2 linked regions of the Sus scrofa genome follow. The protein of the gene in region 2 purifies or fractionates together with the protein of the main gene of each other region. This does not show direct contact. Links are inferred from orthologs where the notes say so. Each region holds a gene or a part of one and is shown on either strand. Other genes may lie near its edges.

Evidence for each region. Proteins that work in one complex are often made in the same cells at the same time.
Region 1: the proteins of ADRM1 (region 2) and PSMA7 fractionate together in Homo sapiens (co-fractionation; 3 studies listed by BioGRID, with this or other methods). This does not show direct contact. The link is inferred for Sus scrofa from reciprocal best matches to the Homo sapiens genes ADRM1 and PSMA7.

The regions. Positions count from the first base shown.
Region 1 is NC_010459.5:61,568,092-61,574,220, forward strand, and holds the start of PSMA7 (proteasome subunit alpha type-7), read right to left. Parts: upstream 3,426-6,129; 5' UTR 3,275-3,425; coding exon 3,179-3,274; intron 1,470-3,178; coding exon 1,343-1,469; intron 782-1,342; coding exon 657-781; intron 103-656; coding exon 1-102. Other genes in the region: SS18L1 (calcium-responsive transactivator), read left to right, coding at 3,782-3,850.
Region 2 is NC_010459.5:61,690,939-61,696,796, reverse strand, and holds the start of ADRM1 (proteasomal ubiquitin receptor ADRM1), read right to left. Parts: upstream 3,841-5,858; 5' UTR 3,759-3,840; intron 3,393-3,758; 5' UTR 3,294-3,392; coding exon 3,283-3,293; intron 3,020-3,282; coding exon 2,806-3,019; intron 2,143-2,805; coding exon 2,026-2,142; intron 981-2,025; coding exon 857-980; intron 593-856; coding exon 506-592; intron 59-505; coding exon 1-58. UniProt on the Homo sapiens protein: Component of the 26S proteasome, a multiprotein complex involved in the ATP-dependent degradation of ubiquitinated proteins.

The sequences.
Region 1 (6,129 bases), about 120 kb from region 2:
TGAGGGGTCCGTCTGGTAGAGTCTGGGGGTGCCGTCAAAGTCAAAACCCACGATGAGGGCGGAGATCCCAAAGGGCCTGCGACCGTTGCTCTGTGTGTAGCGCTAGTGGACAGACAGACACAGGACGGTTGTCTTGGCACAAACTCCCCAGACGACCCAAGTAAAACACACATGGTGCTCCCAGACACTGGGTTCAGGAAAGGGGGGGCCCTAAAGCAAGCCCACATGCGGGTTGTTCGCAGTTCAGGTGAGACATGACACGGGCCAGCGGCTTTCAGCATTGCTCCCACCCTGGCTGCACGTCCCCCCGGAGCACGGCCGGGGCGACCTGGGGCTACTTTGCCGCAGACACACTCGGTTCACAGGTGACCAGAATATCACCAGGGTAGGGGGACTGTCAGCGCCTCGCACCTGCCTGGTGACTGATCATTGGGGAGGGCATGACAAAAGCCACAGCGTTTCCCTCCAGAGATGAGCCCACATCACCTCGTAAGAAGAAAATTTCAGGTACCACTAGGCGAAGGATGGGAAGTTACACGAGGCAGGCGAGGACCACCCCGTGAGGCTGCTGCTGAACCCCCGTGACGCACCCGCAGCAGGACACTAACTGGTGACGGCCCCGTGACGGGAGCCGACCCAGGGCAGGCGGCGCCTACCTGCTTCAGGCTGGCGATGTAGCGGGTGATGTACTCCACAGTGACCGGGTCCTCCACGGTCAGCCGGTGGCTCTGGCACTCCACCCGCGCCCTGTTGATGACTATCCGTGCGTCCGCGGTGAGGCCTGCGGTGACCGGAGAGCTAGCCTGAGCCCCACCTTCCAGTCAGTGGTCCAAACCAGCACGGCATGGACGGCACAACCTCTGGCGGCTTCTAAGACCGGCTCCCGGTTCCCAGCGCGGCGCCTGAGTGACTGGCGGCGGAAGCAGCAGCCCCCACGCGCTTCTCTGAGAAAGCTGGGCGGGCGACCAGCACGCGTCCCGGGACAAAGCAAGTCAACCTCTGGATTGGGTAAACCGGGCGCTCCCTGCCGAGGAGGGAGATGAGCGAGGAGGGAGATGAGCGGAACCACAGGAGCTGACCGCACCTGACAGCAGAGCGCCGGACGGCCCCACCTTTCCCACGGCGACATGCCGCTGAAAGCACGGGGCCACCGCACAGCCCCTCACCCCGGGCGTCTGCTGAGAGCCTGTGCGTCAGCCACCGGAGAGGGACCCTCCTGCCCAAGAAGCAGGCCGCACCTGTTTCTTGGAAACGGTCTGTTCCCCGGCGTGGGCGTCCCCGGCAGCGCTTCCCCGGGTGACCCTCGTAGGAGGCAGGAGGAGAGCCCCGGCCCCAGGCTCACCCGCGAACGCCATGCAGACGTTGTCGTCCAGGGCGCAGATCTTCCGCACGGTCCGCTCGTCCTGCAGCCTGGCCACCGACTTCTTCTCCACGCCGAGGACGACGATGTCCCTTCCGCGGACGCCAACCTTCAACGGGCATCACCGTGGCACTTAAACGTGTGACGCGATCCCAGCCCAGAGCACGAAGAGCGGCTGTTGCCGCGGCCCCATGACCACTGGGGCAGGGGGCACGCACAGCCTGCAAACCGTGGGGCTGGACCCGCTTATGCACAACTACCTCAGGCGTCGCCAGCCAGGTGCCCACTCTTGGCCTTAGGCTTCAGTTTCAGTTCAACTGAAAACCACCACCGTGTGTGACCCACGTGTATGTGCCCCTTCAACCCCATGATTCGGAATTCGGCGTAAAGCCTTTAGGCCTGAGTCCTTAACACAGAAATAGCTGTCCTGAAAGCAGTGTTGCGTGGCTGTGAAGTCACACCCAAACCCTCCCCGCTCCCGCACTTCGGTAACCTGTGTGCACGGCAGTGGGCAAGTGCCTGATGTGACCAGGTGGACGTGTCAGCTACCCCCGGGAGGCCACTGGCTGTTTCTGGCTGTCGCTTCGCAGGTAGAAGGATGTCTTACGCACATGGGGAAAAAAATCACGATTGCCTGTCGACAGCCCTCAATGGGAACAGCAGCCGCTGCGCATGAAACGGTCACTGGGCAGAGCGACATCCGCCCGAGCCCAGAGCAGGGCTTCTGAGCCTCAGGACTGTGGGCACCGGGCCCGCCAATTCTTGGATGTGAGGGCGGCCCGGCTCACTGAAGGATGCTTACCGTCCGCCCGGCCTCTGCCCGGCCTCTGCCTCTAGAAGTCTCCTGGCCGTTGCCAAACGCCCCCTGGGCTGCAGAGAAGCCCTGGTCGGCTGTGTTTCCAAGTTTCAAGCAACTTTCCTACAAACTGACCTGGTCTTTAAAGCTCCCAAAGACAAGAAGGCCCTGCTCAGAGGCGCTGGTTAAAGAAAGGTAGCCTGCCGGCGGGCCCCACATGCAATGGGGGCGGGGGGAGACAGGTGCCAGGCGACTCCCCCACTAGTCTCTAAGCTGAAATAGGTCGCAAGGTGGATTTGGAGCCCCCATTGCAGAAGAGGTTCAAGAGATGAAAATACTTCCAAGATTCACAGAATCGTGTGTTTTCTCTCTGGCCAAACCTCTGACACACCAAATAATAAAATAAAAACCATCGTACAGTTTAGCCAATAAGCAAACTGCCAAGCGTACTGAAGGCACCATTGCATTTACGTTTCAAACCGCGGCCTAAACGACAGCCGCGCTCAGGTGCGAGGGGACGAGGGGGGCGGTCACACCCGGAGGGGCCTGCCAGCTGCGCCGGGCTGCCCGGGGACGGCAGGGCTGCTGCTGAGCCCGGCGGCCGCCCTTTGTCCTCGAAGCCGGCCCACTGCTTTCCCGGTCGGGGAAGCCCCCTCACTGGGAGCGGTCCGCATGCCGTTCGCGCAAATCATTTGGTGCCTTAAGGCGCGTTCCGGGTAAGGGGCTGGCCCGCCGCTCGGAGCCCCCCCCCCCCGCCCAGCCGCGGCCCCCGAACCCCCAAAATGGCGCCGCCGGCAGGCGCGCTCGGCTCCGGACACCGGAGGAGCCCCAAGGCCTGCGGTCTGCAGGCCACGGTCCGCAGCGCCCCTTCCCGAAGCAAGCCCCACGTGACGGCTGCCGTGCGCCCCCCCGCCCCTGTGCTACCCGAGCCCGAAGCACTCGGCGCCGGTCAGCGCGGCCTCCCCAGCCGCCCGGGCCCTGCCCATCCCCGGACGTGCAGGCCCCGCGGGGCCGCCGCTCACCGCAGTCGAGCCCTTCTTCACGGCCTCCTGCGCGTACTCCACTTGGAAGAGGTGGCCGTCGGGCGAAAAGACGGTGATGGCGCGGTCGTAGCTCATGCCGGCGGGGCGACGCGGCCGGACCCGGGAAAAGCGCACACTCACGGCCCGCGCAGCCCGCGATTCACGACGTCGCTGCGCCCGCGCCCGCGCCGCGCGCCCGTCCGCCCCCGGCGCCGCCGACTGCGCTGCTGGCGTAAGGCGGGCGTAAGGCGGCGTCGGGCGACGTGCGCGCGCCGGGGCGGGGCCGGGCCGAACCACCGACGGCCGGGCGCGGGGGGCGGTGCGGCGGCGGCGGCGGTGGCGGCGGCGGCGGGCCCGGCGCGGAGCGCGAGGCGGCCGCCCGGGGGCGCCGCGCGGAGCTCGGTCTCAGGCTGCGGCGGCGCGCGGAGCGGCGAGGCGGCGGGTCCGGAGGCAACGCGGCGACGGAGGGGCGGGCGAGTCCACGGCGCAGCACCCCCCGCGCCCCCCGCCCCCCAGCGACTGCGGAGAATGAGCGCCTCTGGCCGCCGAGCGCAGCCGGAGAATAAACCCCGATGATCTCGGGCTGATCCTGCGCCCGCGACCATGTCGGTGGCCTTCGCGTCCGCCCGGCCGAGAGGCAAAGGGGAGGTCACGCAGCAAACCATCCAGAAGGTGGGCTGGGGGCCGCGGTCCCGGGCTGGGGGCCACGGGGTGCGGGCGGGCGCTGGGCCGGGTCGAGGGCAGCCGGCGGGCGCGGGGCGCGAACAAAGCCGGGGCGCAGCCGACCGCCGCGACCCCGCTGGGGCCCCGCGCGCGCTCTGTGGCCAGCGTGCGCCAATGTGGGCGGGGGTGCGCGGGGGCGGTGGGTTGGGGCTCAAGGCGGCGCGTGGGGTGGTGTCCTCGGAGCCCAGCCCGGAACGACCCCGGGCCTCACCGGCCACAGTGGGGACGCGCCGTCTTCTGGGCCCGGGGCCGCGGGGCAGGAGCGCAGGGCGGCAGGACCGGGTGCCCGCAGGGTGGTGTCCAAGGGATGTTGTCTGCAGGGTGATGTCCGCAGAGCCAAGCCAGGGACGACCCCGGGCCCCGCCGGGGACAGTGGAGACCCGTCGCCTTCGGGGCCGGGGTGCGGGTGCACGGCGTCCGGACCGGGCGTCCGCAGGGTGGTGTCTGCGAGCCGCCCGGTGCGCCGAGGGGACCCTCCTGACTGGGAAAGTGGTGACGCTGCGCCGTGGGCGGCCCCCCGCCCCCGCGCGCAGTTTGGCTGGTGGAGGGCGCACGGGGCACATGGGGCGACGGGGATCCGTCCCAGCCGCCGGCCCCGCCTGCCATTTAGGTGCTGGCATTACGAGGCACAAAGAGGTGCATCCAGAGTGAGGGCGCCGGTCTTGCAGCCCCGCAGCCCTTTAAGGAGCGCTCCACGCCTCGGGGCCGGCTGGCCGGCCGCTCTTATTGGAGTGTCACGCTGCTTTTCAGCCTTGACACTTCGCCAGCCTCTTCACCTAACAAAACTTTACAGACTGGTTTTACAGCCTTGCCTGCGTGCTATAAGTTTGGCCTCGTGGTTTCCTAGACATAACCTTCACGTGGGTTTGGGGACATTTTAATACAAGTCTTAGGTTTTGAAATGGAAATTTAAAATTTTTACTGCTTCTGTTTAGAAGATAAAGCTCAGGAGAAAGTGGCTCTCGACTCTTCCCCTTTGAGTTCCTCGATGTCGGGTAGCCAGGTTGCTCTCCTTTCTAAGCTGGGTTCTCCGAAGAATCCCTGGGTTTCCGGGAACCTTTTATGTCCCTCTGGGATTCACCTTCTCCCGTGATGATGTTTCAGGGCTTCTTTTTGCTGTGACTGGTTTTGACGAATGAGGAGCCTCTGTAAACTCTAAATAAAAAGCAGTAGAAACACGAGGGAAAACGTGGGGCGTTTTCACTTGTTTAGTCCACACTTGAGTGGTGCTCGCTCAGTAGGGGCCCGATTCTCTGGGCCGGGCCCATCTTGATGCGCGTCACCGCTTGCAGTGGTCACTCTCATCAGCGGCTGGTGGAGAAGGAGAGCGGCAGAAGGAGGCCGAGTGCCTGCGGGTAAGTGCTGGAGCCAGGAGGCCAACCCAGACAGTGGCTCTCGGCTCGGGTGGGCAGCCCGGAGCTCCTCTGGGGACCCTGGATTTTTAGGTGAGCATCGTCCCTGTTCCCAAAGCCACCTTGGCATCAGTACTCATCCACGGAGCTGCACTTGGCGCTCGCTCCCTGTTGAAGTTCCCCAGATTCTCTGGGCCAGAGTGTGTGTGGCCACGCTGGTCCCAAGCATCCGAAAGCCTGTGTCCCAGGGCAGAAGGTCTGCCAGCTGGCCAGTGGAGAGGAGTCTTCAGCTTAGGCTGTCGTCTCACGTGCTCTGAGAGGGCTGGGCTGGGTACTCACTTCGATGTTTGGAAGCGTTCTCCTACTGGTGTTCTGAGAGGGCGTGAGAAATGTGTTCTGTGCTCGTGGGAGCTGTGTCCACAGCCTGTGCTCATGCTCAGAGCATTGAGAAAAGCCAGGGGTTCTACAGCAGCCTCCTTGGTAGTGGCACAGCAGAGAGTATACACTTGTCCTGAGAGTACATTTGGATGGGAGCCTGTCAGGCAAACTCCTACTCAGCCTTCAAGGCCCCACTGAAATGTCCCCTCCTCATGCCCCCGTGGCAGTCACGTGAGGAATGCTGTGCTTTGACATGTCCCTTGGGCTCCCAAGTGTTTGGATCATGGACCTGTTCTTGTGTTGCCAGGCTGGCACAGTATCTGGCATAGTTAGTGCTTCGTACTTGCTGGAGCATCTGTGACCCTGGTTCCATCAGTGGAAATTTTGGGTTAGGCAGGCATATTTGTCTCCTGTGGCTACCGTAACAGATGACCTCAAACGGAGTAGTTTGGAGCAGCAGAAATTAATTTTCTTGCAGTTGGGAGGGCCTAGAAGTCC
Region 2 (5,858 bases):
GGCCCGCCGCTGCCCAGTAAGCTGGCCAGGCCCGGCCCAGTCAGGGCCCCCAGCCCCCCTGCGAGGAGCAAGGAGACAGGGCTCAGCTGTCACCCGGCCAGACAGCCCACCCTCCCCGCCAGAGGAGCAGGAACGCGCGCACCAAAGCCCAGGGACAGGCAGGGGAGGTGGTGACCACGGCGGGGCAAGAGGCAGCTCTTCCCGCCAAGCCGGACGCTTCACCCCCCTGCTACCAGGGCACTGGGTCCTCGTGACGTGGAGCCCAGGCCCAGGACGAAGTGACAAGCGTTTCCTGAGCGCCACGCCAGCCTGACGGGGCGGCAGCGCCGGGGCCACCCAGAGACCAGGCTCCTCCCCGGGGCCTCGCCTCCCTCCGCCCAGGGCTCCCAGCTCCCGCCTCAGGCAAAGCAGGCCCTTCCCCGGGAAGCCTGCACGCAGAACAGAGGGCTCGGAGCCCCTCGGAGCGCGGGGACACGGGGGAGGGCCCGGGGCCGGGGCGCGTTACCCAGTCCTCCGAGGCCGGCGGGTCCGATGAGCTGCATGAGCTGGCTGTGGCTCATGTTCCCCAGCAGGCTCTGCAGGCCGCCCTCGCCTGCAAGACAAGGCGGTCAGCCCGGGACGGCCACGGCTGGGCCTCCCGCTGCCCGGAACTGCGCGGCCCGCCTCCCCCAGTGTCCCCGCCAGGCGGGGCGGCGCCGTCTCATCGGGCGCCGGTGGGGGTGACCCCGGAACGGGGGAGGGGGCTTCTAACGAGCAACCCTCTGCGTCCGCTTAGCAACAAGCGGGCCCCACTCAGGGGCCACGTCACCTGAAACCCACCGCGACCTCCCGGCACACCCGGGAAGGGGACGGTTACCGCCCAGCGCCGACAGCTCGTGGCCTCCGCTGCCGCTGGCCCCCAGGGCGCCGGGCATGGGCGGGTTGTTGAGGTACTCGTTGACCTTCCGGCAGTGCTCCTCGTCCTGGTCCGTCTTGGGCTCCTGCGGGGAGGATGCGGCACCCGCGCGGCTGAGCGGCCCGCCCGCCACGGGCCGCCTTAGAGGCGAGGCACCCGAGGCCTGGACAGGCGGAGTCACCTGTCCGCAGTCACCCGTTTCACAGAAGGGGACCCTGACGTGCCAGGAGCACTGGGGGCGCAAAGGCACCGCCTTGTGACCCTCTGGGACAGGCCCTTCACACGGCAGGCCAAGGCCACACGTGTGACACCCCCACTGACCCTTTCATCGGAGCACCGCCCACGGACCAGCGCCCCCCGTCAGCAGGGCGCTGACATGAGCACCAGGTGTGGGGGGTCAGGCAGCGCTGCCCTGTGAGCACCCCCAGAAATGCAGGACCAAACACCTTCGCCTCTTGTCCAGGAGTCACTGAGCATGTGCTGTGGGCCTGCAGGGTGACGCGGGGAGGGGGGACAAGACACAGTCCCCAAGCTCAGGGCGGAGGGAACAGAAAAGGCACCACGTGGGGTCAAAACTATGGAGAAACAAGCTCTACGCCAGTGGCTGACACACCACAGGCCTGTTTACAAATAAAGTTTTACTGGAGCGTGGCTACACCCGTCTGTTGACCTGTCCTTGGCCACTGTCACACTACTCAGCGGAGGTGAGCTGGCATGACACGACCGTCCTGCCCCGTTGCACAGAGTGCCGGGGGCGCGGCGGGGGCGGGGCGGGGGATCTGTCCAAACTGCAAGCACACAGGCTCACCTACCGCAGGAGCACGTCCACGTCCCCTGGGCAAGAGGACCCCCAGGGACCCCGGGGGCGGGAGCGCTGGAGGAGCGGACCACAGGCAGACTCTTGCTGGTCAGCCAGGGACTGCCGCACACAGCGGGCACCCGAGGCCCAGCTACAGGTCCAGACCCTGGGCAAGCCCGCCCCCAGGCCCCTGCGCCCAGGTCATACCCTGGACTCCTAAGGTTCCAGGGCAAGCAGCTTCGGTCAGCGAATTCTACCACCCAGGGAGCAACTTTCTAACCTAATTTCACGACAGGAGAAAAAAAGATAAATGCTGACAAAACCCATGTACCTGCATCCAAAAGAAGAGCCGCTTGGAGCCAGCCTTAAACTTGAGGACGTAGACCCTGCCGCTGGGGCACTGCGGCACACGCTTGAACTCGCAGTCATCAGGAAAGATGATCAGATCCTACAGAGAGCAGCAGGGAGGAGAGTCGGCTTCACGGGCACAGCATCGCTGAGCCCCGGAACCTCCGGGAGAACACGCTGGGTCCCGTGTTGAGTGTGGGGGCGTGGGGAGAGGACACGGAGACCACGGGGTCTCTGGGGGGCAGAGGCACCACACGGCGGGCACGAGGGCCAGGAGGGGCTTGGTACTAAACAGAGAAGGGGGGCTTCTGACTCTCGACGGATTTTCAATAGAGACACTTGGGGAAGCAACATTCCAAGATGAGTCAAAAGGCAACTGTGACCTGCTCTCGAACCTAACAAGAAATGATTTGGTCTGAAGAACAAAGAACACCAAATAAAATGACCGCTCGAGAACGCTGTCGAGGATGCGGTAAGTTCAGGACTTTTATACAGTTTCTCCAATTCAAAGCACCTAATTAATCTTCAAGTTTAAAGGACACACAGGCAACGGGAGAATCTATAGACCCCCCGAGGCTAGAACGACCCACAAGCAAAAGAAAATATCTGATAAGGGCACCAGGCCAGGGGCTCCGGGCCTCCCAAGACCTGCCAAAACGGAAACGGCCGCTGTGCCCCTGGGGCACCGGTCCTTCTGTGAAAATCGCCCCGCGCTGACAACCAGGCGGGGGTCGAGATGAGATGGAGGCCACCAGACACTTACGTCTTCCACGTTCCCAGATGTCCTGTCTTTCCAGCAAAAGTGAATGAGGGAGTCATCTGTCTGTTGAATGTACACGAGGCCTTTCCGTTTATCTGGGGTGACAGTAGTTCCTTTTAATGACATCTTTCCTGCCCGAAACTCCACCAAATACTTGTTGGAGGACCCGCGGGAGCCTGGCACCAGGCTTGGAAACAGAGCGCCTGAAGTCGTCATCCTGAAACCGGACCAGCAAGCGGACCCAGTCACTGCCACGGAAACCCTAACTTCCTCCTCAAATGTTCGCTGGCGGCGGAGTGAAAGCCCCTCTCTCTGAACCGCGGGCTGCCACTGTGCTGGGAGCAGGCGGCAGGCCCAAGCCGCCCAGCACCCGCCGCCAAACTCCTCCCGGGTGGACCTGGGCCCGCAGTACCTGAGCCCAGGGAGCCAGGTTCCCTGCTGCTTCTCGTGTTTCTAAGAGAAGGAAATTTACCCCCGCACCTGAACTGCATCACCGCTGCGGACCCTCGTCACCACCACTCTCCGTACTTTTTAAATCTGCAGCTCCGAAGGGTTTAAAACCGTGAGCTGGGCAGACAACCGCTAACACACTGGATAGGAGACAAGGCTGTGGCCTAAAACCGAGTTTCTGCGCGATACGGGCAGGCTCGCTGCCTTAGAAAAAACCCGAGCACCCGGGAGAAGCGCAGCAAGCCCCGCGGCGGCGCTGCATCCTCTGCGGGGTGACCTGGCCATCCCCGCCCGCAGACCCCGCCGCCCGACGCCCTCGGCTGCGCTGCGCGGCGGGCGGGGCGGCGGCTGGGCTGGCCCGGGAGCCGGGCCCCAGAACCCCGGCCCGCGCCGGCCCCTTGCCCCTCAGGCCTCCGCCCCCCGGGCGCCCGCCCGCAGCCGCCGACGGCGCAGACCCCGCCCCCTGCCGCCCCCGTAACCGTCCCCGCCCCCGGCGCCCCCTGTACCTGGTCCGCGCCGAGAGTCGGCCGAGAGGCGCTGTCCGGGATCGCTCTTCCTCCTCGGCGCCTGCCGGGCCCCGCCGGAAGTCCCGCTCGCCCCGCCCCCCCGCCGCTCTCGCCGCCGATTGGGCCCCGTCAGGAGAGGGGCGGGCACTGGCCCGCGGGCGATTGGCCAGAGCGGCCGCCCATTACCCGGCCAGGCCCGCCCCCCCGCCTGCGGCTCCTTCCGGCGGAAGCGCGGGCCGGCGGCGCGCGGGCCAGAGCGGCCCCTATTGTTGCTGTGTCATAGGGGCGCGGCGGCGGCCCCTGGCGGCGGCGCCTGGAACGGCGAGGCGGGCGCGGGCCGGGCGGTGGGCGCTGGCCCCGGGACCGCCGGGCCGCGCCGGGCCGAGCCCCTGCGGGACGCTGGAGGCTCTCTCAGTTTCGCTGTCAGTGCGAGACACCGGGTCCCGAGACGAAGGAGAAGTCGCTAGCTCAAGGGAGAGGATGGCCTAGGACGCGGGGGCCGGGGGCCGGGCGCGAGGGTTTCACATTCCGGGGGCAAGGTGGCAAACTACAGCCCCGAACCCCGTTCCATGGCCTCCACCCATCCTCCTCGATTACAGTGACGACCCGGCTGCCCCCCATCGCCCCCGTACCCCAACAGCAGTGATGGCACAGTCCTCCCCATCCCCCCCAGCACCCCAGACAGCAGCGTTGGCACGGCTGCCCCCTCCCCCTCGTCTGCGGGTGCAGCGTTTCCAGAGGCTGGTGGGCAGTCAGGATGGAGGGAAGGCCAGACTAGATAAACGGAAGGCGCTGCCCTCCCACTACTTTTATTTCCGCTTCATTTACACCCAGTCCTGCAGAGAAATGGAAAAGCGGCCCACGTGCTAGGTGCCCCCAGCCGCACACCCCACCAGCGCCGCCTGCCTCCCGGCGCCAAAGGCAGGGCCGTCCTGAACTGTGTGCCCACTTTCCTGTGTGCTGGGTGATTTTCTCTCTATGTGTATGGAAAACTTGTTTTTAAGCTTTTCATAAAAGGTATAAAGGTGAAAAGTATTCTTTCACTCAATGTTTTTAAGATTTATCCACCTTGACACCTGTGGCTCTAACCCATTCATTTTAACTCCTGTACCCTCTTCTGGTGAGTTCCATACCCCTTGCTTTGTGATCTAAAGAGTCACTAATTTTTTTCTTTGTTTTGGAAAATATGACTGTTTTTCATTTTAAAATTTTATTTGTGATAATAAATGCCTTTGTTATTTTTAAATTAGTTAATATTTATTTTTAATTTATAATAATGGTAAATATCCATAGATTAAAAACCCATATAGACAAAAGCTCTGTGGGGTCCTGGATAATTTTTGAGACTCTCAAGGGTTCCAGAGGTGGGCGGGGGGAACAGCCAACTTGAGGCAATGCTTATGGGAGTTCCCTGGCGGCTCAATGGGTTAAGGATCCGTCATTGTCACTGCTGTGGTGCCTGTTCAGTCCCTGACCTGGGAACTTCCACATGTCACAGACGCAGCCTGAAAAAAAAATTCTAGTACAACGTGATGCAATTTTGTGGCCTCTGACGCGGTCACCACCCTGCAGACAATGCCATCCCATGGCCTGTGAAACCAGGCAAGAAATCAGTGAAGCAGCACCTGTCGTGGCACAGCAGAAACGAATCCAACTAGGAACCATGAGGTTGCAGGGTCGATCCCTGGCCTCACTCAGTGGCTTAAGGATCCGGCGTTGCCATGGGCTGTGGTCACAGAAGTGGCTCAGATCCAATGTGGCTGTGGCTGTGGTGCAGGCCGGCAGCTGTAGCTCCAATTAGACCCCTAGCCTGGGAACCTCCATGTGCCGCGGGTGTGGCCCTAAAAAACAAAAAACAAAAAAACCCACAAAGCTTTATACACTTTCAATAGTTTCTTTGAAAAATCTGAATAAGGAAGCAAGCTACAGGTAAACGGGCACCACGGAGGCCAGTCCATGTGCCCACCCCAGCCTTGGGCTCGGGGAACCCGGCTGCACGCATCCGAGCACCTGGCAGCCTCCGCCAAAAAGCAAACCCAGCACGACCCCCTGAACTTCACCACATCGCCCAGACCAAAGGCAGGGTGCGCGGTGGCGGCG